Astyanax mexicanus: one gene and its partner. The protein of the gene in region 2 binds, or shares a complex with, the protein of the main gene of each other region. Links are inferred from orthologs where the notes say so. Each region holds a gene or a part of one and is shown on either strand. Other genes may lie near its edges. The genes, in order: get1 and camlg.

The links.
Region 1: camlg (region 2) and get1 share a complex: the UniProt entries of both Homo sapiens proteins name them as parts of the golgi to ER traffic (GET) complex. The link is inferred for Astyanax mexicanus from reciprocal best matches to the Homo sapiens genes CAMLG and GET1.

Annotation. Positions count from the first base shown.
Region 1 is NC_064411.1:24,683,558-24,696,630, reverse strand, and holds the start of get1 (guided entry of tail-anchored proteins factor 1), read right to left. Parts: upstream 5,299-13,073; 5' UTR 5,243-5,298; coding exon 5,153-5,242; intron 4,760-5,152; exon of another isoform or gene 4,626-4,759; intron 4,072-4,625; exon of another isoform or gene 3,990-4,071; intron 1-3,989. UniProt on the Homo sapiens protein: Required for the post-translational delivery of tail-anchored (TA) proteins to the endoplasmic reticulum (ER).
Region 2 is NC_064424.1:33,509,289-33,522,098, forward strand, and holds the start of camlg (calcium signal-modulating cyclophilin ligand), read right to left. Parts: upstream 6,285-12,810; 5' UTR 6,106-6,284; coding exon 5,967-6,105; intron 4,995-5,966; coding exon 4,543-4,994; intron 3,910-4,542; coding exon 3,844-3,909; intron 3,169-3,843; coding exon 2,977-3,168; 3' UTR 1-2,976. Other genes in the region: arylsulfatase B, read left to right, coding at 7,101-7,361, 9,568-9,754, 10,874-11,064. UniProt on the Homo sapiens protein: Required for the post-translational delivery of tail-anchored (TA) proteins to the endoplasmic reticulum.

The DNA of each region.
Region 1 (13,073 bases), on a different chromosome or scaffold from region 2:
ATCCTCTGCTGTGCTGCCTGATCCTCTGCTGTGCTGCCTGATCCTCTGCTGTGCTGCCTGATCCGCTGCTGTGCTGCCTGATCCGCTGCTGTGCTGCCTGAACCTTTAGTCTGCTGCCTGATCTGCTGCTGTGCTGTCTGAATCTCTAGTCTGCTGCCTGATCTGCTGCTGTGCTGCCTGAACCTTTAGTCTGCTGCCTGATCTGCTGTTGTGCTGCCTGAACCTTTAGTCTGCTGCCTGATCTGCTGCTGTGCTCCCTGAACCTTTAGTCTGCTGCCTGATCTGCTGCTGTGCTGCCTGATCCCTTTACTGTGCTGTCTGAATCTCTAGTCTGCTGCCTGATCCGCTGCTGTGCTGCCTGAACCTTTAGTCTGCTGCCTGATCTGCTGCTGTGCTGCCTGATCCTCTACTGTGCTGCACTGCCCAATCCTCTAATGGGCTGCCAGATCCCCTACTGTGCTGCCCAATCCTCTTCTCCTGTGCTGCCTGATCTGCTGCTGTGTTGCCTGATCTGCTGCTGTGCTGCCTGATCTGTTGCTGTGCTGCCTGATCCTCTACTGTGCTGCCCGATCCTCTACTGTGCTGCCCGATCCTCTACTGTGCTGCCCAATCCTCTACTGTGCTGCCCAATCCTCTACTGTGCTGCCCAATCCTCTACTGTGCTGCCCAATCCTCTACTGTGCTGCCCAATCCTCTACTGTGCTACCCGATCCCCTACTGTGCTGCCTGATCCCCTACTGTGCTGCCCAATCCTCTTCTCCTGTGCTGCCTGAGATGGTGTCCATCATTCCTGCGCTGCCTGTTTCTCTACTCTGTGTGTGACTACGTTCACCACCACTGTGCTGCCTGATCCTCTGCTGTGTGTGCGACTACGTTCACCACCACTGTGCTGCCTGATCCTCTGCTGTGTGTGACTACATTCACCACCACTGTGCTGCCTGATCCTCTGCTGAGTGTGACTACATTCACCACCACTGTGCTGCCTGATCCTCTGCTGTGTGTGACTACATTCACCACCACTGTGCTGCCTGATCCTCTGCTGTGTGTGACTACATTCACCACCACTGTGCTGCCTGATCCTCTGCTGAGTGTGTGACTACGTTCACCACCACTGTGCTGCCTGATCCTCTGCTGTGTGTGACTACATTCACCACCACTGTGCTGCCTGATCCTCTGCTGAGTGTGTGACTACGTTCACCACCACTGTGCTGCCTGATCCTCTGCTGTGTGTGCGAGTACGTTCACCACCACTGTGCTGCCTGATCCTCTGCTGTGTGTGACTACATTCACCACCACTGTGCTGCCTGATCCTCTGCTGTGTGTGACTACATTCACCACCACTGTGCTGCCTGATCCTCTGCTGTGTGTGACTACATTCACCACCACTGTGCTGCCTGATCCTCTGCTGTGTGTGACTACATTCACCACCACTGTTCTGCCTGATCCTCTGCTGTGTGTGACTACGTTCACCACCACTGTGCTGCCTGATCCTCTGCTGAGTGTGTGACTACGTTCACCACCACTGTGCTGCCTGATCCTCTGCTTTGTGTGTGACTACGTTCACCACCACTGTGCTGCCTGATCCTCTGCTTTGTGTGTGACTACGTTCACCACCACTGTGCTGCCTGAAGCTCTGCTGATTGTGTGAAATTTCGGGCACCGCTACTGTGCTGCTTGAGACGGTGTCCATCACCACTGTGCTGTCTGATCCTCTACTCTGTGTGTGACCTGAATGAACATGACTGTGAGCATACCATAGGGGTGTCACGATTTCGTTATTTTATTGAAATCGAGCAAAATTATGTCCCGGTCTCGAGCATCGAAGTCAAAAAGATGATCAACGATCCCTCTCTCTAAGGTACGCAAGCGCACACGCGCTACGCAAATAGCGCAGCACACTGTATTTTTTTATTATTTATTTTATGTTGCTGTTTTAATAGTGCACACTGCTGCTACAAAAAAAAACACTAGCTGGCATTACATATATATCTTAATTAAATTATTTTAATTTGACCAGTAGTGCCTATTGTGGAGTGTTACAGATCACTAATCTAAAACTGCCATAGGCCTCCCTGCTGTTAAAAAAAGAAAAAAGAAAATCGAATCGAATCGTGACCCTTAAATCGAAATAAAATCGAATCGAGGATTTAGAGAATCATGACACCCCTAGCGTACCATGCTGATAGCCCTCCTGGTTATTATTTTGTTTTTTAATTTGTCTTACAGCGACTAATGTAATCAAAATGCTTTGGCATACATTATTACTCTATTTTTGGATTTCAGTTTCCTCCATCTGTTTCTTAAAACCAAATGCTGGCTTTGTGCTAGTGCTCTCTGACTAGGTCTTTGATTTAAATCCTTACAATTTCAGTAATCACTCATGTCTGGACTGAAAAGAAAAAGGAGCACATTGCCATTTGCATTCTCCATATAGAAATTGTGACCACATTATTACTTTGGTGCATCTCCAAATTTTATTCCATCTATTTAGGTCTCTTAGATAAATATTTAGGTCAGATTCTTGCAAAAATAGAGAATTTTCTAACCACTGTATAGCTCAGAAAAAGTTGAGACAGTATGGAAAATGTAAATGAAAATAAAAATATATTTCTGCAATAGTAGAATCTTCCATGGCTTAAGGTCATTGTTGAAAGCTGGACACACAGGGTGCACTGCATTAAAACAGGCAAGCTGACAAATGGCTTTTTCCTGCATCATCCAGCTTTAACCTTCCTTTGTGGACTGCACTGTGTTCACAGACAAAGATGTTTGGCCATGCAGTAATTTCCAGTACAATTCAAGCCTGTTTTAATGCAGAAGATCACCAGAATCAAATACTGACAGACAGCCTTGCTCCCATTGCATTGATTATTAGTGTTGCTTACTTTTCCAGCCTTATGTTGCCTGAAATGCAGAAATGAATGTTTTAATGAATTAAATAAAATGAATGAAAGTTTACCAGACAAACCATGAAATATATCAGGTTAATAGTGTCTGCAATTATATATATAAAATGCAAAATGCAAAAAAAAAAAATATATATTATATATATATATATATATATATATATTTATTTTTTTTTTTTTTTTTTTATAGGAGTTTAGCATGCTTTTAGTAGCTACTTTTTCAAAACATTTTTATCATTCTTTTTAAAATTGAGAAAAAGTCTTTAGTTGCCCAAAGTTTCAATGAATGTTCATGCATTAATAATAACAGTTTAAATAGCCAGTGGCAACCTTTTCAAACTTTGTACCATAGAACTTGGGGTGGAAGCTCTTCTGATATTCTAGCCAATACATTGCAGGGCAGTTAGACACAGACAGACACACTGATACATTCACTCACACCTAGGGGGCAATTTCAACCAAAACCCAATTGGCCTGGACATGTTGTTTTTGGACTGTGGGAGGAAACCTATACAGACACGGGAGAATGTGCAAAATCCACACAGAAAGACATGGGCTACCCCAGCCAGGAATCGAACCCTTGCTGTGAGGCGACAGCGCTACCCACTGAGCCACAGTGCTGTAATTATATATTAATTAAACATTATTCCAACTTTTTTTATATAATTTTTTATCCCAATTTATTTTCTATTTTCTCTCAATTTACAAGGCCAATTACCCAACCCACTCATTAGGACACTTTCACTAGTGTTGCCCCAACACCAGAAGGGGAAAGACTAACACATGCTTCCTCTGACAAATGTGAAGTCAGATTTCGCCTCTTTTCCACTGAGGAGTAGCATCACAGCGCACTCGGAGGAAAGTGCAGCGACTCGGTTCTGATACATCAGCTCAGAGATGCCCTGTGCTGATCAACATCCCTCAAGGAGTGATGAGGAGAAAAGAGCGCCATCTACCCACCCAGAGAGAGCAAGGCGAATAGTGATTTTTCCAAGTATGTATTGCTGCAGACTGCAGCACCTCCAAAAAGGAGGGGCTTACCTCCAAATGGGAGGTCCACAGCTCCAAAGGGGAGGGGCTTACCTCCAAGTGGGAAGTCCACCAACAGTATAGGGCTGGAGACTGGGAGCGTTTGTGCGCGAGACCTCTCTCACCACGGCTCCGGCTAATGTCATAAAAAAAAGTCTTCCGTGATTATTATTATTACTATTATTCTATTACATCAAAGTAAATGTTATATAGAATGTACTATCACATTATATTATATTATACTATATAAAAGTCTACATCGTAAGGCAGGGAGACCTCACTCAGCACAGCTCCATTTCTCTGCCAAACGCCACAAAAAAGTCCTCCGTGGTTAAAAGGCTCATGGATGTCAATAAATATATTAGTCAACAATTAATGATTATTTATATTTCTTAAATGTCAATATAATAAAATACGTGCAGTGTGGATGTATTTATAATATTATTGGCTATGAATAAACAACTGCCTTTATTATTTAGATCTTTACTATTTTATAATTTGAAAAATTCACAGCATGGCAAATGTTTAAACGTTTTAAATAAATAAAATGTGGTTGCAATGTGCACAACATGCTTTTAGACTCTTAGAAAATGCATTTTAAAAGAAATAAACATTTAATAAACGAAATTGATTAATTAATTAACCTTTGGGGTTATTTACAAGCACAAAACGTCGTGAAAAACACCATACCGCGTAACACCAAGCACCAGCCTACTTGGATGTAGGCTCCGCCTGTTTGGAGGTATGTTCCTCCCCTTTGGAGGTGCTCCAGGCTGCAGCTATACACTTCTCGATTTTTCAGGGCTCCTGCAGCTGATGGCAAGCTACATGAACAGGATTTGAACTTATAAACTAAGTTAACTTTTAAAACCTCGAAAGATTTACATGCTGATATATTGAAAGCAGTGTGTAAAATTCAATCTCGTCGAGCAAATTACCCTTTATATCAGGTTTTTAACTAATTCCTTCTTTAGTATCATGTATCGGCTAACAGAAAGCATAAACTTACATAACAACAACAACAGGAATTATCTCTATCAGACTGGGGCAGCTGCTGGATTTGATCAGCGCTGCTCCTGAATGAAGCTGTGAAAGAACGCTGATGCACCACAGCAGTATATTCACAATACTCCGCTCAGTCAGCACTATCTGTTCTGTAAGAACCCTGTACTTATGAGGGATATACAAAAGAGGAAATAGACAAACCGTAAACTTACAAAGGAGGAAATAGACGGCAGGAATGTTTTAACGAGATTACACAGAAACACAGAGCTAAGCACCACGAGCCAGTTGTACGTGGAATCCATTTTGTTTGTTTATGAACTACTTCACCCGATTCGTGAACCGATTCGCTTCGGATGAGCCGGTTCGTTGTAATGAATCGGACTTATGATTTAAACGTACAGGGTGTGGCCAAAATGGCTCCCCACTCCCTCATGTGTACCTCAATAGAGGGAGACAGTTCACTAAGTTGCGAAGTAGTAAAACACAGGAATGAATTCGGACACTCCCTCATTATTATCATGCGCTCACTCTGCTCGCTTAAACATGAACAGCTGAAGGGCTGAACTGTGTGAAAGGGCTGAAGTCGTGTCGGAAATATCGTGCTACGAGATAGAGAGCACATGGACGCCACCACAAACTCGTATTAATGGGGAACTCGGATTTTAGATAATGCCCGAATTTCCCAGTTGGGGACGTGTCAGAGGTCAATAAATTAATTACATGTATTTAAATGGATAAAAAAATAATATATTGAAGCAGACAGTTCGTATTGTAAACTGCTTAACACGAACACTTGCAGGTTGTAAACCTGCACACATATTTAACACACATGCAGATAAAATCATTTAAATATATATTTGTGATATTTAAGACAAGGCCTTGTCATGCCAACGTAAACAATGACGTTGAGCCAACGTTGAGCCAACGTATGCTTGCTATCTGGGTATTTTATTTTATTAAGATCATGTTGTACTAAAACCTGTAATACTGTTGATATGCTGAACATCAGCTGTTTGTCCGGTTTTTTTAGCATTTGGGCGGAAACACCCAGTGTTTTTCACCCAGTCACCCAGTTTACTCAGTGACATGATTTTATCTGAATCTCACTGTAACAATCTGGCAACAAAAGCACAAAAAGACCCTATTGGCGCGTCGTACAAAGCGCCGTCTCAGTGCAAATAAAGCGGCGTTTTAGTTCCTCTCTTGGCGCCGTAAAAAGTGACGTTTAATAATAAGACAAAGAGCTCCACCTGCCGGTTTTAAAAGCCAATAATTTGAGGAGCCGCTCGCTGCAGCCTGTAGGAAGGCGGAGTTGGACATCCAACCCCGCCCACATCCAACTCCGCCCATGTCCAACTCCGCCTTACGTCTAAAGCAACACCCACCTTACGTCCGTCACGAACGCCTACATTTACTCCCGGTAAACAGGAATTGTAGCCGAGAAAGCAGCTAAATCATCTATCTGATTTATATCTCCGGTTATGGCGGTAAGTACAAATATTGAGTTATTTTTTAAGTTAACAGAGCTATTTTTATAATGTCCTCTTGTTTTTCTATATTATATTTTATGAATAAACGGTGAGTCGTTGATACGCACATGAAGGTTCTACCTCGGCGCGTGTACCATGTGGTTTGTTTGCTTCTAGCTAGTCATATTGCCGTTTTTTTTTTATGGATTCTAATGCAGAATTGCACCCAGTCTTGTCTAATTCAAACTTTAGTTATCTTACCTTCTGTTTTATGGGCTAAAATGCTACCAATGAATGGTATCACAGATAAACTCTCATAGCTAGTAGTGAGCTAGGCATCAGTTTTGTTTTTAAGGCATAGGGGTTATAGTCAGCTAACCTAAAAAACTGTTTAAACTGTCTATACAAGAAGTTAATTGGCTAACAAGATAGCAAGATAATCTAGCTAACTAAAATTGGTTCAAAGTCTTAGTCATACAAATAAATATTTGAAGATATCAATGCTTAATCCTCCTATTTAATTTGTCAGGAATAGCAATGGTATTCCCGGGTTAATTTGACCTGGTTCATTTTTAATTATCCAAAATATTTCTGAAACCAAAACAATCCTAACCAGAAGAGTAAATATTTAATAACTAACTCCATTGCTGATTGTTCTATCAACATTTAGTACAATAGTGTACAATAGAGGCAATAGTTCAATTAGTATAATTCACTTGTTTTTCCATTTTAAAAAATCTTACTTTTTTTTTTGTTTTACTACTTTGTTACTTTTAAACGACCAACACAATATTTTTACATATAAATGAAACATAACATTACAATTTCGTTTTAGTTTTAGTTTTTGCAGGGGGTTGTTGCAAATATGAAATTAACCATTTTCATGTTATATGTTAATTATACAAATAAAGGCAAGCTGAAGACGTTTCATACAGAAAAAAATACTTTTACTATCTTACTAAATGGATCAATTTGACCCGTAACGTAACAGGAGGGTTAAGTCGATGCACATTTATTACCTTTGTACTGATATTTCAGTACAGTTAAGATGTTTGTTTTCCCTTAGAAAAGGAATTACACTTACTGATTTTGAAATCATTTTAAAATTCTTGATTTTTTTAAACCTACAGGTGTAGTGCCATGAAAACATCACAGTGCTGCATGTAAAGACGAGTTTCGCAGGATGTACGAACTGCAGTGCTGCCAGAACTGTCAAGAAACTTATAAAGACTACATACTGGGTATGTTTGTTCTAAATAAATTTTTATAATTTTTTCCTGAGGTCAGAAATTGGTAAGTCAATATATTTAAGGTATTGGGGCTTGAGAGATTGTTACTTTGTGAAAGTGTGTGCTTTTACTTATATTACAGGGTACGTTGGGCATGGGAGACGAGGGGAGCTTGTGGCATTTTACAGCGAAAACGAGCACCCTGGATTCTGCAGCCAGCTTCATGAGTGGCTGGGTGTGTGAGTGGCTGGGTGTGTGAGTGGCTGGGTGTGTGAGTGGCTGGGTGTGTGAGTGGCTGGGTGTGTGAGTGGCTGGGTGTGTGAGTGGCTGGGTGTGTGAGTGGCTGGGTGTGTGAGTGGCTGGGTGTGTGAGTGGCTGGGTGTGTGAGTGGCTGGGTGTGTGAGTGGCTGGGTGTGTGAGTGGCTGGGTGTGTGAGTGGCTGGGTGTTGCATTTTTAAATAAAGACTTCTGTATTTGTTTGACCAAAGCATGTAACCAAACATTTTAAAGGCTAGTGTGCCAATAAATGCCAATAAAGATATTGTATTAGCTTGGACAAAGTGTTTGTAAATGGAGTTAATTTCCCTGGGAACTACTGTCAGCCATACAAAATTGGGAGAGGAGAAGCAGGAGAGGGATATCATTATTATTATTATTATTATTATTATTATTATTGACAAAATAGCTTTGTATACATATGATATTTTAATTTCTGAAACCACAGCATTTGATATATTGTACTCTATCGTTATACAGTGAGTCCAAGAAGTATTTGATCCCTTGCTGATTTTCTGTTTGCCCACTAATAAAGACACTATCCTTCTGCACTTTTAATGGTAGATATATTCTAACATGGAGAGACAGAATATCAAGACAAAAATCCAGAATATAATTTTAAAGAATATATTTTAATTAATTTGTATTTCAATGAGGAAAATAAGTATTTGATCCCTCTTGCCAAACACACTCAATACTTAGTGGCAAAGCCTTTTTTTGCAAGCACAGCGGTGAGACGTTTGTTGTAGTTAACCACAAGTTTAGCACACACACCAGGGGGAATTTTGGCCCACTCTTCTTTGCAGATCCTCTCTAAATCATGAAGGTTGGTGGGCTGTCGCTTGGCAACTCTGACCTTCAGCTCCCTCCATAGATTTTCGATCGGATTGAGGTCTGGCGACTGGCTGGGCCACTCCATGACCTTAATGTGATTTTTCTTGAGCCAATCCTTTGTTGCCTTTGCTGTATGTTTAGGGTCGTTATCATGTTGGAAGACCCAACCACGGCCCATTTTCAGATCCCTGGCAGAGGGGAGGAGGTTGTCCCTCAGGATTGTGCGGTACATGGCTCCATCCATCTTCCCAGTGATGCGGTGAAGTAGCCCTGTACCCTTGGCAGAGAAACACCCCCAAAACATTATGCTTCCACCTCCATGCTTGACGGTGGGCACAGTGTTCTTGGGGTCATAGGCAGCATTTTTCTTCCTCCACACATGGCGGGTGGAGTTGAGGCCAAAAAGTTCAATTTTGGTCTCGTCTGACCACAAAACCTTCTCCCAATAACTTGGTTCATCTTTCAAATGATCATTGGCATACTTGAGGCGCGCCTCCACATGTGCTCTCTTCAGCAGGGGTACCTTTCGGGCACTGCAGGATGTGAATCCATTGTTGCGCAAAGTGTTGCCAATTGTTTCCTTGCAAACTGTGGTCCCAGCTGCCTTCAGGTCATTTGCTAACTCCTGCCGAGTGGTTGCAGGACGATTTCTGACCGTTCTCAGCATCATTGCCACCCCACGAGGCGAAATCTTCTTTGGAGCACCGGGCCGAGGTCTGTTGATTGTCATGTTATACTCTTTAAACTTTCTGATAATTGCACCAATAGTTGTTACTTTCACATCCAACACCTTACTAATCTTTTTGTAGCCCATTCCAGCTTTGTGAAGGTCAACAATTCTGACTCTGAGGTCCTGTGACAGCTCTTTGGTTTTACCCATGTTGGAGACTTGAAATCTGTGTGATCTGTCTGATTCTGTGGACAGGTGTTTTTCACACAAGTGATTAGTGAGAACAGGTGGCTTCAGGTCAGGTAACAAGTTGATTGGGAGTGTCTAACTGGTCTGTAAAAGCCAGAACTGCTAATGAATACTAAGGGATCAAATACTTATTTCACTCCATGAAATACAAATCAATTAATATATATTCCTTAGATTTATTTTCTGGATTTTCTTTTTAATATTCTGTCTCTCCATGTAAGAATACATCTACCATTAAAAGTATAGAATGATCATGTCTTTATTAGTGGGCCAACGAAGAAAATCAGCAAGGGATCAAATACTTCTTGGACTCACTGTACACTATCCAGCATACCATTATTACCACCTGCTTGTTTCTGCTTCTATTGTTCTTTTTTTTTAGCTCCAATTAGCATCTAGGACACTTTAGTTGCATAATGGTTTACTGGTGTATAATATACAATAGGTATAAAACACTGTTCACTCTATTAGACACTTCTACCAACAGCTGCTTTACATTGTGAGTGAAAAGTCAGAGACAGAATCTTTAAATCTGTTGCTGCACAGTTTGTTGCAAATCTGCAAATTCTTCATCAGTGCCCATGGGATGCTGCCTACTTGATGCTGAATACAGGACGCTGCCCACATGATGCTGGTTGATGGAGCATTTCCTGTCCAGTAGTGACAATGAGGTGTTTAAATTCTCCAGAGGCACTACTTTGTCGGATCCACTCATACCAACACAGCTCTTAACACCACTATGTCAGTGTCACTGTAGTGTTGTGAATAACCAACAAGCCACTCTGTGGTGGTCCTAAATTGTATGCTATACAGTGCAGCTGTGTCATTCTCATCTGTAATATTTTCAGCACCCTGTTGACAGTGAAGATGCAGAATTACTTCTAATATCATTATTATATATTAGCTATGCCTATGACACAAATAGCCTCCCCCCTGCTGAGTGGTGATAAGTAGTGATGGGTCTAATGACCCTGAAACCTCGACACATGCGCCGAGCTGTCAAGGCGAAACCCCGTGTCGGTGCGCGTATCAAGTTAAGGAAAACCACGTGACCGATACACTTCCTGTATCGTTTGGTAGCGATGGGTCTGACGACACTGGAACCTCAGCGCATGCACCGAGCAAACAAGGCGATCCCCTGTGTCAGACCGCGTATCCTTTTAAGGAAAACCACGTGACCGATGCATTTCCTCGCGCAGTTTCTTGCAATGACTTTCTTAGTCCAGCAGATGTCGCCATTAAGTGATACAGCAACACAGTTTCAACACAGTGTCGATACAGTTTGGGAAATGTGCCATACACCCAATGAGGTTTCATCTGCCCATCACTAGTGATAAGAAGCACTGTCTATCTGTAATATGAAGTATAGAGCATTACAGTACAGAGAACAGGTGTGATCTAACAATCAAACACTTTAATAATCAGATGCACCCTTTGACCAGCCTCTATCAGTGCAAAGCCATGATTGATAATGTGCTCTTTATTTCATATGGAACATAACCAAAAACTGTATATCGTAAGTTTTAACTTTATATAATAAGTAAATAATGATTCCTATGATAGCTAATCAATAATTCTGGAGATATTTACCAGTCTAAAATAAATTTATAAAATCTACACACTCTGGCAACTAGTTTAACAAATTTAAATGTAAGGATTAATGCAGTGAAATAATGGCTTACTCTGCTGGTGAGTGGGACAGATTAATGTATAATGTATTGTGATATACAGGACAGAGGCAATTGATCTTTTGGAAACAGCAAATCGTTGTATGCAATTATTTGCTTATTGTATAAAATCAAGGAGAAATGGCACACGTGATGAAAAAGAAGAGCAAGAGTTCCCTCTGTTACACAGAATGAGTTACCAGCCTCATAAACCACAAGTTAGCAGCATGCCATATAAGAAAAACAATAAAATCATACACTTTTAAGTTCACATGATTCCTTATGTATTACTTTGTTTACAATGTTAAACCAAAAATGAATGAGAAAGTGTTTCCAAACTTTTGGCTGGTACTGTATATATAGCCTATTTTTTGTGATATCTGTGCATTACACTACAGCATGTGTAGTGCTGTAGCCAAGGCTACGTGGTGGAACTACTCACAAGATATGCGTAAATTTAGCGCAACATCGGCGTTATATGCGTATTTCACGTGGCACACAGTGCTTCTTGAACAAAAAATTAGGGGGGTTGGCGTACAAGAGCACATGTGGGCGGGGTTGGATGTGGGCGGAGTTGGGTGTCCAACTCCGCCTTCCTACAGGCTGCAGCGAGACGTACTTGAATAATTTTAAACTCTTTTCAGCCAATGCTCTTGAAAGGCTAGAAGAGACTTAGTCCAAAGTAATTCACTGCAGATCCGAGCTCCTGAGCTTGTCGGAGCTCTGTTTTTTTTACACCGTAAAGCGTTTTGAACTGCTCTTATTAATTATCTTTAAAAGCATTATATAGCTATTACACCGAGATCTACTTTTCTTTCCTTCTATTATTTTCTGTTGTGAAATGCGCTAAAACATTAAAACTGTGTACATAAGCATGATATTTTATTTATTTCCAAGAAAAAGAACAGAAAAGCTGGTCTGCTATAACAAAACGATGTTCTAAAGCTATTGTGTTATGTGTGATTTATCTGAAAATTCGTCTGAAAGTGTACTTTTCTGTGTCTGAAGAACAGACTTTTGAATAATGCACAATCTAATCCCATAATTCCATTTTTTCATTTAGTTCTTCACAGTATATCTGTAACATGCCAGTATGTTTTGTGAATACTTTTTTATCTCAATTTAATAACACTCATGTGATGAGACCCGCCATTGTTCACGTGGGCTGCAGGTGGATACTGTCTGACTTGATTTCTTCGCTCCTCCACCCCAAATCAAAGCACGCGAAGTTTCATAGTGTTTTTGGGATTGAAAACATTACTAGAATTAGAAGGATCAGGTACTTCTGATCCAGGACGCAAAAATCCATCCCAGGATTTTGTTCGAACTCTCTGTGCGGCTCTGCTGCAGCTCAGCTACACTGAACCGTGCACGAAGATAGATCCCGGGATGGATTTTTACTTTCTGGATCAGGATTACGGACCTCCAGTTAGGCTACTGTGAGCAGAGAGAGAGAGATACTTTATTGATCCCGAAGGAAATTTAGCAGAAATTTAAACTACGTTAACCTTAAAAAAATGTGTTGGGATTGTTGGATCTGTCAATGACTATTTGTAATTTAGAATTCCTCTTTATAGAAGAGATGCATTCAAGTATTATACTGAATATTAAATATATAATTTTACTAGTGGGTGGGGCTGAGTGCATAACAAAATTAATGTCACGTCTCTAACCCGCATTAATTAAAAGAAAATGCATTATTGCACATAGCTTTTGTATTATTTTCATTGAAAGTAAAA
Region 2 (12,810 bases):
CAGATTAATTACATATCAAAAGAAACCCACAGCATAAATAACAAATTATTACAACAACCACCATCTCACAGAATCACTGTAAACATAATCAGAATCAGGTTAAAACCGCTTAGAGCAGAAAACACTGATGTTCTAAAACGGAATCGATTTCAATTAATTTTTAAAAGTCACACAAGAATTTACACAATAGGCGACAGAGAGACAGCCAGGATATTGCAGCAGTACACATACTCCAAACCAGTCGATAAACTGGAGAGTTCTGATTATGCAGATGAATATAAAGTTGATGTATGATGAAGCATTTTATATATATATTTTTTTATTCCACCTTAAATCGGTGCAGAAGTTACATTTATGCAACACAGGCCAACCTGAACTTCATACACACTCACAAACACGCACCCAACAAAAGAGTTCATAGCTTCAGAACACACACACACACAGCATTCCAGACCCTCTTCCTGGACATCTTCTGTCCTGGTTACTGTCCTGTCTACTGAACCTTCTTTAGCTTTCTGAATTCAGCTTGACTAATTATTAATTAATCTGTTTATTATTAAAGAGCTCATTTCCTCCTTTTCTTCAGAGCCCCACTCATAACATATGTGTGTTTATAAATCATATTTTATTAATAAAATGATCAAAAAATTATGAACAGGCTGCTTTTGTTACTGTGTCTTTAAGACTGAGAAATGTAAATAACTCTTTCCTGATTAAATGCCCAGTGTTGTGTCTTTTTCAAAAGCATCAGGCTAAATGTGAGGGACTAAACTTCTGTAGACTGAATTGGTAGAGCTACACTGCTTTTGGCTGAATGAGCAGGACCAAGGTGCTGTAAGATGAATGAATTGAACTAAAATGCTGTAAGCTCAATAGGTGGAGTTTAACTGTTGAATGCTAAAAGGGTGGAGCTAAACTTATGTAAACTGAATTGGTAGGGCTAAAATGCTTGTAGAGTGAATGGGTGGGGCTAAACATGCTGTTCCTGAATGAGCAAGGCAAAACTGCTGAAAAATGTATTGGTAGGGCCACTCTATTTGTAGGGTGACTAAGTGGGGCTAAATGTAACTACGCGCATCATGCAATGGGCAACAGCAGCTCTAATTGGTCCACTGAGCCACCCAAACATTCCCGCCTCCACGGTTAATACTGCTGAGTGATGCAGAGATGTGGTCACGTGCAAACATATGTATAAACGCGCACAGCTGGCTCTTACGCAAGCTACACTTTAAACAACGCATAGACTTGACGCAGAAGTATAAATTGACCTTTAATTGGTGAAGCTAAAATTCTTTAGGTTCAATAGGCGGAGCTAAAAAGGTGGAGACTAAATAAGTGGGATAATGGAATTTCATGTGTGAAACCACAAACTATTTTTTCAAATCAAACTGTTTTCAGGAGATGGGCTGCTGTATATGACGCATTTGAAAATGTAAAAAAAAATCAAGGTCTTATTCACAAAGAATTGAAGAAAGAAATATCTTCACACCGACCATACCCAAAACCACACTGTGCAGCACTTGGGCAGGTAATCAAGAACTACCAGAGCAGTCGATTAGCTGGAGTGTGTCTCAGAAAGAAGGTGGAAGCAGACTTCGAAGTAAGGTTTTACCTAGGTAGTGACCATTGCTGAAATTGATCCCTACTTCTTTATTTGAGTTGGTCTCTACAGGAGAAAGTGTTCAGTTCAATAACACATTTTCATCATTAGCCTGCACATCATTAGGAGGATTTACTAGTGTTTGTTGGGTTCACTAGCATTTGTCAGATTCATCCACGAACAGTGGGTTCACCATCAATTGCCAGGTACATTTTTGTTGGAAAGAACATTCTGGTTTCACCAGCATTCACAGGGTTCTGCAGCATTTGCAGCGTTAACAAGGATTAGCAGTGTTCGCCAGTGATTGCTTAGTTTATCAGGTTCACTAGTGTTCCTCGGTGCTTGGGGATTTTGGCAGCATTTTGAACATTAGCAAAATTCACAGGGTTCAGCAGTACTCACAAGCATGTGCTGGGTTTACTAGCATTCCCAGTGTTAGCAGCAATCCCAGCCAGTTCTAGCTACTATATTTGAAGCTGTTGTGTTTATAGTTTTATTTTTTGTTACTCTGGGGCCACTGTTGGCCACAGCTGCTGTGGTGATCCCTGTTGTTCACTAATAATAAACAGGTTGCTCTGAAATTCCACTTTTCATTTCAAATATCAAATTTTCCTATTATCTAATTCCCATTCATATGAACTCCCCCATCACTAGTTATGCCCACAACACTAGGAGCATGAGGACCAGTACATGCCTCCTCAGATACTTGTAAAGTCAGTCACTACCCCCAATGCAGGCAGTTAACACGGATACCACACTGGAATTGATGAGAGGATAAAATGCCATCAACCAACCCTTAGAGAAACCATCACCAGCTATGCTCTCTCTGACTCTGACTGCTGTAAGTAGCATGATTCGCCATTCTTACCAGCGTTCCACTTTTTAAAGTAAATAGTTAAAGTACTCAATAGTGTGCCACAAATCTCAGATAGGGATCCATTTCAGTCTCAGCCTAGATAGCCTAAATGAGCAGGGGGACAGATCCCAGATCAGCTCTCCTGCTCAAAGAAGCTTTATGAATGAGATGTCTGTTGCATAAACTGCTGACCAGCAGTCACCAACTTTGCTCCTGATCCCGTACACACAGGGGGACCTGTGTGGGTCTGGGTCAGACTGGATCAGGGGTTAGAGTGAACTCTCTAGGAGCAGAGCTGGTGACCGGCTATTGACCAGTGTGGTAACCAGCTTAGTGTCGTCAGCTGAAGTTAAACAGATTTTTACAGCTCAGAATAAATTATTTTCTCCCACTGGTCTGCTCTGAAGCTCAGAGGCCGCTGGGTTGGTTTAGGAGAAAGGTCTAAAACTGCTCACAAAGCGGCACAAGTAAAAGGGTCAGGCAGCATTCAGCCCTTCATACTGTAACGATGCTCCACCCATCACGATGACTCAGACCCGAACAAGAGGATGAGCTCGTGACACATGATAAAGGTGAAGAAATACACGCAGAGGTCGGCAAACACGTCGCCCATTTTCCGATAAGTGTCCATGGAATGGTTAATGACCTCAGCCGGAATGCCGGACAGCAGGAGGGCAGCAGTGAGGACAGTGGTCTTTGACTTTTTCTCCACCTGAGAGAGAAAGAAACAGAAAAATCACAAATATTAAATAACCACTTAAATTAGAACCAAAATATTTGATAAACACAAACCTCTGCCCACTTGTATACATTTTATGGCTACATATCTGTTTGTCAGCCGCTTTCCTCAATGTCTGCTTTGAATAACACTTGAATAAGCATGAATAAGCATGCTAGCCTGTATGGGTAAACATCCCTCATAAAGAGAGACGTTAACACAAAATGATTTTTTTTGTGGATGAGAGGCAGACGAACTGTTTTAAAAAATATCCAGATGTGTGGAGGAGGCCAAATTACATTGCTGTGAACAACGCAACAGAAACACATAAAATGTAACCGTAAATTTTTGACACTAATAAATAATTGGTGTTTGAATAGATTTTTTTTATTGAGTGATTTGAGTGCGTGAGTGTTATTGGGTACTGTGTGACTGTTTATAATGCACAGTCTACGTGTAGTGGGTGGAGATGAAGATTGGTATTCCCTGCTTTTGTTGGAAAGTGATTTTTAAGTCACTTTTACTGGACAGGGTTTACAAATGCATTTCTGGACAAGAAAGCCCAAGTTACATTGTGATTTTTTTGTACGTTGAGCCTGGAGTAATACAGAGATTAGATAGATCAGCTTTAAACTGCTTTAAATTGCTGAACGTGATGTAATGACGCACCTTTGGAAAGTACTTGTATAACCCCATGTAGGCCAGCTCCAGAGTGAGAAACGGTGCAAATATTGACTGCAAAAAAGAAAGTAAACCATCACATAAACACAAGCAATAACAATGGTAATATCAATTAATGTTTATACGCTATCATGATTTAAATGAAATAATAGCACAAAGAATAACAGAACAATTAATAATAGCACAATTATACTATACAATTATACAAAATAATGAGTAATCTAAACTCTATATACATACAACCAGTTCTAATCTAAAAACAAAGTGGATTTATAAACACCTAGGGAACGTGCATACCTAATGTTCTGTGAAGCTATTTTAGCTTCATCTGAGGCCTTAGTGTCCAGTCGAATCCATAGAGGATAGCTTTGACTGCGAAACTCGGCCCAGTGGGAGGACTTTGGCTCTCTTTGGATTAGACTGGCTACCCCATTAGGGAAAGTTGCCTCTAAACCAAAGCAAGATTTTCTTTTCTTTTTTTTTTTTTTTTTTTTTTTTTAAAACATCAATATTGAAACTGTGTTTGTGTTTAATCCAGCAGGTAGCTCCAAGGTTATTGAGTACTTTGAAAAAGTGAATCGATTCTGTAAGTTCTGTTTAAAAAAAACACCACACGCCCCTCCTCTAGTTTTAAAACAATTCCACATTTTGACAACAAACTGCATTTCTTTCAGAACATCAACTCACCAAGTACTGGCAGACGAAGATGCGTACAAAGACAGCTAAAAGGACACTCCCGGTGAGCCGGAAGAGACGGAAGGGGTCAAGCTCCTCCGGGTCAGAGCTGCTGTCCTGTGCCGCCTTCTCGTTCGCTAGCTGACCCCGCAGCTTCATTGCGTCGTCAAAGCGGGACAGGTACTTCTGCAGGCCCCTTCGAGGAGAGCGCGAGTGCTCATCACTGGACAGCTCTCCCCGTGGCCGCTGTCGCACCCCACGGGACAGGTCATCCTCCCCCAGGTCCTCTCTGCTGTCCGGCAGGGGAGAGCCCCGCCTTTCAGGGGTGCTGCTGGGGGTTGTGTTTTTGCTGCCACCCGTCTCAGAGATGTATGGAGAGAGGCGCTTAGAAGACACCGGTGGCGTCCAGGCATCATTTGGGTCCAGGTCTAGGTGGAAGCGAGGCTCCATCGTGTGTCGGGCTTCTATGTGAAAGACGGAGAAAGGGAAACAGTTGAAAGTGTTATTAGAAAAAAAAAAAAAGTGTTAGAAAGTATTATTAGTATTAAAGTATTATTAGTATAAAAAGTATTAGAAAGTGTTATTAGTGTTATTAGAAGTATTATTATTTTTTATTATAATAAAAAATAATAAAAATACTAAAATAACTTAATTTTATTCTAAATAATTATTGTTACTTTCAAGTGTGAACAGCTTTCATGTCCATAAAGAACCACAGCCTAGAAAACTCCTTTGTGTTCACAGACGTTGTTTTGTTGTTTATAACAAACACAAGAAGGCAAAAACAATATGTGCACCTTAAAAAAAACACAATTCACTCCTTAGTAAGGATATTCCTATACTGTTGGAATGGACAGTGTGTAGTAGGGGTGTGCTATATTTTGTCATACACAATCATTTTTTTATGTTTTGCCATTTACTGTTCTATTAATAGTTTGCAGTTTATATGTAGGCACTAACTAAGCTGGACTTAAGTTCTGTGGTAGATGTTTGTGTTTATATTACATTATTTCTGTTACCTTTTTTAATTTTGTAACACTACAGTCTTGGTAAACTACTGTCTAGAAAATAGACATTTATAGATTTTGTTTCAGCTGAATAAATTTGTACTAAATAAAACATTTATATGTATTTTGTTGCAGAAGTATACTCTTGAAATGTATTTAAAAGAATTACTGCAAAAACACCCTGAAATATCGTGATATTATTTCACGGCCATATCGCCCAGCCCTAAGCGCTGAATGGGATTAAGCTGAATTTGACTCCTCATTATGAGATAGAGTAACTGGGGCGCCTGAATGGAGCAGGGTTAGTTACCTTCTGCACCATGTAAGGCAGACCGGTAAATCCCAGTAACTACCTGAGGAATAAGCAGGCCTCCCCGGTTCATTAACTGGTTTAGGGTGTAAATGTGCTCTCTGTATGAATGTGCTGACCGCTGCTATCCGCGTCGCCCTTCCCGAAGCCCACTATTCTGTTCATCCTCTGCTCGGAGTTCTGCAGCAGCCTCCTCCGCCTGCTCTCCGCCCGGCGCTGAGCTGCGCTGCGGCCGCTCGCCTCGTCCCCGGCCTCCATCCCCTCTCTGCCCGCTCCAATCGCTCCTACGGCTCCCGGTGGTCCGATTCTCTCCGGGGGCTTTAATAATCCTGTGTTTAACTGCCTTATCCTCGCTCCGCTTCCTTGCTCCGGGATCCTCTGCGCGCACACAAACACCACACTACTGCAGGCCCTCAGCGCAATGGCGGCACAGCTACAATAAAAGTCCTCTTAGTGAAAAAATGAACTCAAAATAAAAAAGGCGAAAAGGTGATTAAATCACCGAATTAAAAAAACACGAACTAAGTAGAGAGATTCAAGTAAAATAAAAAAATATAAAGTAAATTTCGTTAATTATATGGAATATTTAATGCACAGATGCACTGTAAAGAAATACACATCAAGATAAAAGTTGTTTAACAAAAGAAAAAGAAGATAATCTAGAAAAGAGCAAAACCAGTAGAGTTTGATGGTAGATTTTCTATAATATAATTAATATAATAAAATTATTTTATATACAATGTAGTAAACAAATTTAACAGTTGCAGTTGCAGTAATTTTATAAAAAAAATTATAAAAACGCTGTGAAACGTGCTATTATTATTATGTTTAATATTTAATATGTATTATTATTATTATTATGTTTAATATTTAATATGTATTATTATTATTATTAGTATATTTATTATTATGTTTAATATTTAATACTTATTATTATTATTATTATTATTATTATTATTATTATTATTATTATTATTATTATTATTATTATTTGTATTTGTATTTGTATTTGTATTTGTATTTATACAGTGTAAAGCAAGCAGAGTCGAGTGATCAGCCTGTAAGTAAGCGTAGGATTGTGGGTAATGTAGTGAAGGGGCAGACTTGTTGTACTTTTATAGACACTTCCCCAACCGTCCGCTTGTGAGTGTGTGTGTGAGAGAGAGAGAGTGCGAGTGAGAGAGATGAGCAGACTGTGCGCGGGACAGTATGAGGAAGTAGTGAGTGTGTGTTGGTGCTGAGTGTAGAGGGGTATGATGGTGCAGGTTTGGGTAAAGACCCTGATAGTGTGTGTGAGTGTGTGTGTGAGTGTGTGTAGGGGAGCTGGTTCTCCTCCGCACGTGGTCTTCGTACTTGCGGATGATCTGGGCTGGAATGATGTGGGTTTTCGCGGCTCTGAGATCCGGACCCCGGAACTGGACCGGCTGGCTGCAGCGGGGGTCCGGCTGGACGGGTATTATGTCCAGCCGCTCTGCACCCCGTCCAGGAACCAACTAATGACCGGCAGGTACCAGGTAAGACTGCAGTACACACACTGAACCCACAGCTGCTGTCAGTGCTGCGACTGCTGCTGTAACAGCTACTACAGCTACTGTCAGTGCTGCTACTGCTGCTGTAACAGCTGCTACAGCTGCTGTCAGTGCTTCTAGTGCTGCTGTAACATCTGCTACAGCTGCTGTCAGTGCTGCTACTGCTGCTGTAACAGCTACTACAGCTACTGTCAGTGCTGCTACTGCTGCTGTAACAGCTGCTGTCAGTGCTGCTACTGCTGCTGTAACAGCTACTACAGCTACTGTCAGTGCTGCTACTGTTGCTGTAACAGCTGCTACAGCTGCTGTCAGTGCTGCTAGTGCTGCTGTAACAGCTACTACAGCTAATGTCAGTGCTGCTACTGCTGCTGTAACAGCTGCTACAGCTGCTGCCAGTGCTTCTACTGCTGCTGTAACAGCTGCTACAGCTGCTGTCAGTGCTGCTACTGCTGCTGTAACAGCTGCTGTCAGTGCTGCTACTGCTGCTGTAACAGCTACTACAGCTACTGTCAGTGCTGCTACTGTTGCTGTAACAGCTGCTACAGCTGCTGTCAGTGCTGCTAGTGCTGCTGTAACAGCTACTACAGCTAATGTCAGTGCTGCTACTGCTGCTGTAACAGCTACTACAGCTACTGTCAGTGCTGCTACTGCTGCTGTAACAGCTGCTACAGCTGCTGTCAGTGCTGCTACTGCTGCTGTAACAGCTACTACAGCTACTGTCAGTGCTGCTACTGCTGCTGTAACAGCTGCTGTCAGTGCTGCTACTGCTGCTGTAACAGCTACTACAGCTACTGTCAGTGCTGCTACTGTTGCTGTAACAGCTGCTACAGCTGCTGTCAGTGCTGCTAGTGCTGCTGTAACAGCTACTACAGCTAATGTCAGTGCTGCTACTGCTGCTGTAACAGCTGCTACAGCTGCTGTCAGTGCTTCTACTGCTGCTGTAACAGCTGCTACAGCTGCTGTCAGTGCTGCTACTGCTGCTGTAACAGCTACTACAGCTACTGTCAGTGCTGCTACTGGTGCTGTAACAGCTGCTTTAGCTACTGTCAGTGCTGCTACTGCTGCTGCATTACTGTAACAGCTACTGTAGGTAGTTACTGTTAATGCTGCTACTGCTGCTGTAACAGCTACTACAGCAACTGCTGCTGTAACAGTAATAATGTAACAGGTACTACAACCACTGTCAGTGCTGCTACTGCTGCTGTATTGCTCTAATAACTACAACAGCTAGTTACTACTGTCACTACTACAAGTATTACTTTAACTGCTACTGCTGTCACTACTCTTACAAGTAATTCTATAACATCTACTGCTGTCACTACTCTTACATGTATTACTATAACACCTACGGAAGTAATGTCTATATACATCCCAACAAACATGTTCATAGTCAAAAGCTTAAATTAGCCTTGTGTTAGCCTAATTCAGATTCTTTCACAAATATATTGGAAATCCACCTCAAACAGCTGAATTATAGATAAATATACACTCGCTTGGATAAAGCAAAAAACAACTGCCCTGACACAACTTCCTGGTGTGAAACTACATCTCTCTCACTCTGCAGACCAAACTTTACTGTCTCTACTGTAAAGTCATGTTGAATACAACCGTCTACTATATGCAATATAACTGTTTACTGTGTACTGCTCTGCAAGAGTAAGGGTTTGGGCTGCACAATATATTGCTTCGGCATTGATATCGCAATGTACACATGTGCAACAGTCTCACTGCAAGATGTGCAAGGATTTGTCAAGGATTTTTTTTTTCACACTGTTCTCATCTTGCACGACAGTAGGTGCCAGATTAACTACTGTATTTATCTTATGGCATTTATTTTACTCCAATCATTGACACACAGATTCTCTTATATTATGAATATTATGAAAAACCTGTATTTTCTTTTTTATATATATATATCAGTAAGAACCACAAAATATCGCAATGTTATTTTTTTCCAATATTTTGAAACCCTAGTAAGGATTATGTGCATTATCCCCTGTTTACTTATCTTATCTTATCTTTCTGCTTATGCTACCATTACTGCTGCCATTATTACTGCTACTACTACCATTAGTACAGTAGTACAATTGCTATTACTGCTTCTAATACTACTGTTACTACTGTTTCTGTATAATTGCTATTACTGCTATACTGTAAATACTCCTATTATTTCACTGTTCTGCTGTTTCAGATTCACACAGGGATGCAGCACCAGATAATCTGGCCGTGCCAGCCGTACTGCGTCCCTCTGGAGGAGAAGCTGCTGCCACAGCTGATGAAGGAGGCAGGTTACTCCACCCACATGGTGGGCAAATGGCATTTGGGCATGTACAGAAAAGAGTGCCTGCCCACACGGCGTGGTTTCGACTCCTACTTCGGTGGGTGGATGTTGATGATATTATTATCCACTTCTAAGCCAAAACTTACAGTACTGTGACACTTTTACGGTGCTACTGGAGACTGGGCATCACTCCTGTCATGCATTTTGGTTGGCTCTAGAGTATGTAATGGTATGTTGTCTAAAGTTTAGTGCTGTACCAGAGATGCATTGCTAATACAGCTAACGACAGCTTTAATTCTGAATATAGTCTGTAGTTTCGTCCAGGTTTGTACATACAGAGTCAAAAATCACATGCACCTGTTCGAGATCTTTCAACATGGTTTGAAGTGACATAGAATTTAAGTTATCTTCTGATTCGCCATGTTCCTATTTACATTGTCCATTTCACATTAAGGGGAATAGTACCCATTAAGTATCTGAATAAACCTGCTAATAACTGTAAAATAAAAGTATATCCATTTAACACAAGTGTGTAATGATAGCACCATGTTAACTGCATAGATAGTGTAATACAGAATCATCCTGTTAAACGTATAAAGGCTTTTTTATTTAAATAAATCCTACTGCTTCTCTCCCTCAGTTGATTTGCCACTCCATAAAAATATAAATTTCTCTCTATGCTCATCATTGGGTCTGTTTATGGTTTAGGTATAAGCCCATCAGCATGCTGCTTAAACTATGATCAAGGGAGGGTCAGCATTCTAGAAGGAGATCCCCCTCTCAATGTGGAGATCTGCACAAGCGCAGTAGCCAGGATATGCATGTGCATCATTGAGACAGATTTCAGTATATCATTCTCTACCTATTTAAAAAGATGGATGGCTGGTCTAGTAGGCATGAAGATAATGGCTGCAGAGTGAACAGACTTTCCTAAAAGATCAGTTTGCATCTAAACAAGGACGTTTACAGAAATAGAAAGTGACATGGGGAAAATACCTACTGCAAGTGGAAAGAGTGTGTGTGTGTACAAGCCCCATTGCACCATATGTAATTGGGCTTGGTACATCTTCTAAAGTTTGCAACTTTAGGCATACGCTACCTTTACTTGTTAGCTTTCTCTTCTAAGATCCTGTATAAAACTCACACTTGTCCTGACTGATAGTACTTTGTGAAATTATGTAAATTTGATTCTTTGCTTCTCCTTTTTGACTTACAGGATACCTAACCGGTTCTGAGGATTATTTCACCCATCAGCGATGCTCTTACATCACTCCACTGAATGTCACTCGCTGTGCCCTGGATCTGAGGGATGGGGAGCAGGTTGCTAAGGGTTACAATGGCTCCTTCTCTACCGAGCTCTTCACTCAGAGAGCAACCAGCATTATTCAGCAGCACAAACCCAACCAGGTAGGCTAGCACTGCTGAGAATGTAATGGGACTTTATATCCCACCTTATAATCCACATATGTGCCCCAGTTAACTACAAGGCTAAAGTAAAAAGTTGCGCCACAAACCAAAATCTTTAAAATATCAAAAACAATACTAACAGTAAATTAATATAAATTAGCAGAAGGTTACATTGTAATAATAATAAATACATGGTTAAAAACCTAAGCTTAAGAGTTACTTAACTTAACTTAAGAGTTAAAAAAGGCAAAATAGATCATTGGCATATAATGCTTTATTTGAGATTGTTTTTAAATCATAATTGCATTGAAACATTATTTACCAGTGAGATTTTTCTCTTTGTTTTTTCATTATATTTTATGTAATTTCACTTTAACACTTAGCAGAATAATATTACCGTATTTAGAGGCTGTGTTCAGCAGTGCTCGACAGTGCTACACTGAGAGACCCTGAGTGTTATGGTAAGTCCGGGCCCTATCAGCCAGTTATTGGCTAATGCTTTTACTGTTCCAGCCTGGAGAAACTTTACTGAAAAATCACCCTTATAACGCTGTATTTAAGTGGAGAGGCTTTACTCGATTAAAAGGCGCTCTGACGGTGCTCCTTATAGTAATATTATAATATAATATATAATATATATAATATACAGTAATTTATTTATTTGGATATTTCACAGTGTTTGTAGACAATGTCATTGTTTTGGAATATTGTACAGTTCTCCATGCTTTGTGAATTGATCTTCCAACAGGCAAAATGGAGTGAATCTGTATTTACTAGTTTTCTCTCTGGTAAATAAATCCTTCCCTTGAGCAATCAAAAACAACACACACATCTTGTAAACTTGTGTATCAGCTTACATCCTGAGTACCCCACTTGTAAATGCCACTTTGGCTGCTATAGGGCTAATGTAGCTATAGCTATAAAGGATATTTAGAGCTTTTACTGTGACAAATATTTAAAACTAGCAAATACCTATTATCTAGCATATACCTAGCATTTAGTAATTATTACTTAAATAATTGACTGATGGAACCAGTACTGGAAATATGAGCCTAAAGTTTTATATAACTTATGAGCCTCAGTTATCTGGTTACATTAGCACTGGCTAATTTCGATGTAGCAAGTATTTGAACGGCACCAGTTCTATGTAGCTAATTTAGCTAGCAACAAATATCTAAGCTTATAGCACACAAATATGCTTCAGTTTTTACTGGAGCTACATAGCTACTGTACTTATAGATAATAATTTAGGCTTAGACTTCAACAAAAGCATTAAAACCCACTTATAATGTCATATTAGCACTAAAGCAGACAGGCTAGGCTACTGTATCTAACAAGTCCCAAAATAGGTGGGGAAACATCTTCTCAGAATTGGGAAATAGACCGTTTTAGTGCACAACTTGAGAGTGGTTGTGACTGTGGTCAGCATTAACCATCTGCAGTTAAAACCGGTCTTTTAGCTTGTTGTAATCTCCTTACAGTCAATTTTAGTTCACAGCAATGTTCCAACATTATAGTTGTTATAGTTGGCTGTTATAGTTGACTTATAAGGCTTTAATGGGTTGGAATTAAATGGTCCAATCCACCTTAAATTGTGTTGCTATTTGTTAAATTTCTATTGAAAAAGGCCCATTCCACCTTAATGTTGCCTGAATTTATCTGCTGGATCACTTACGGTGGAATAGACCATTCAGTATCATAGTTAACAATGTGAGCTGCCTGAATGTTACTAATGCATAATGTAAG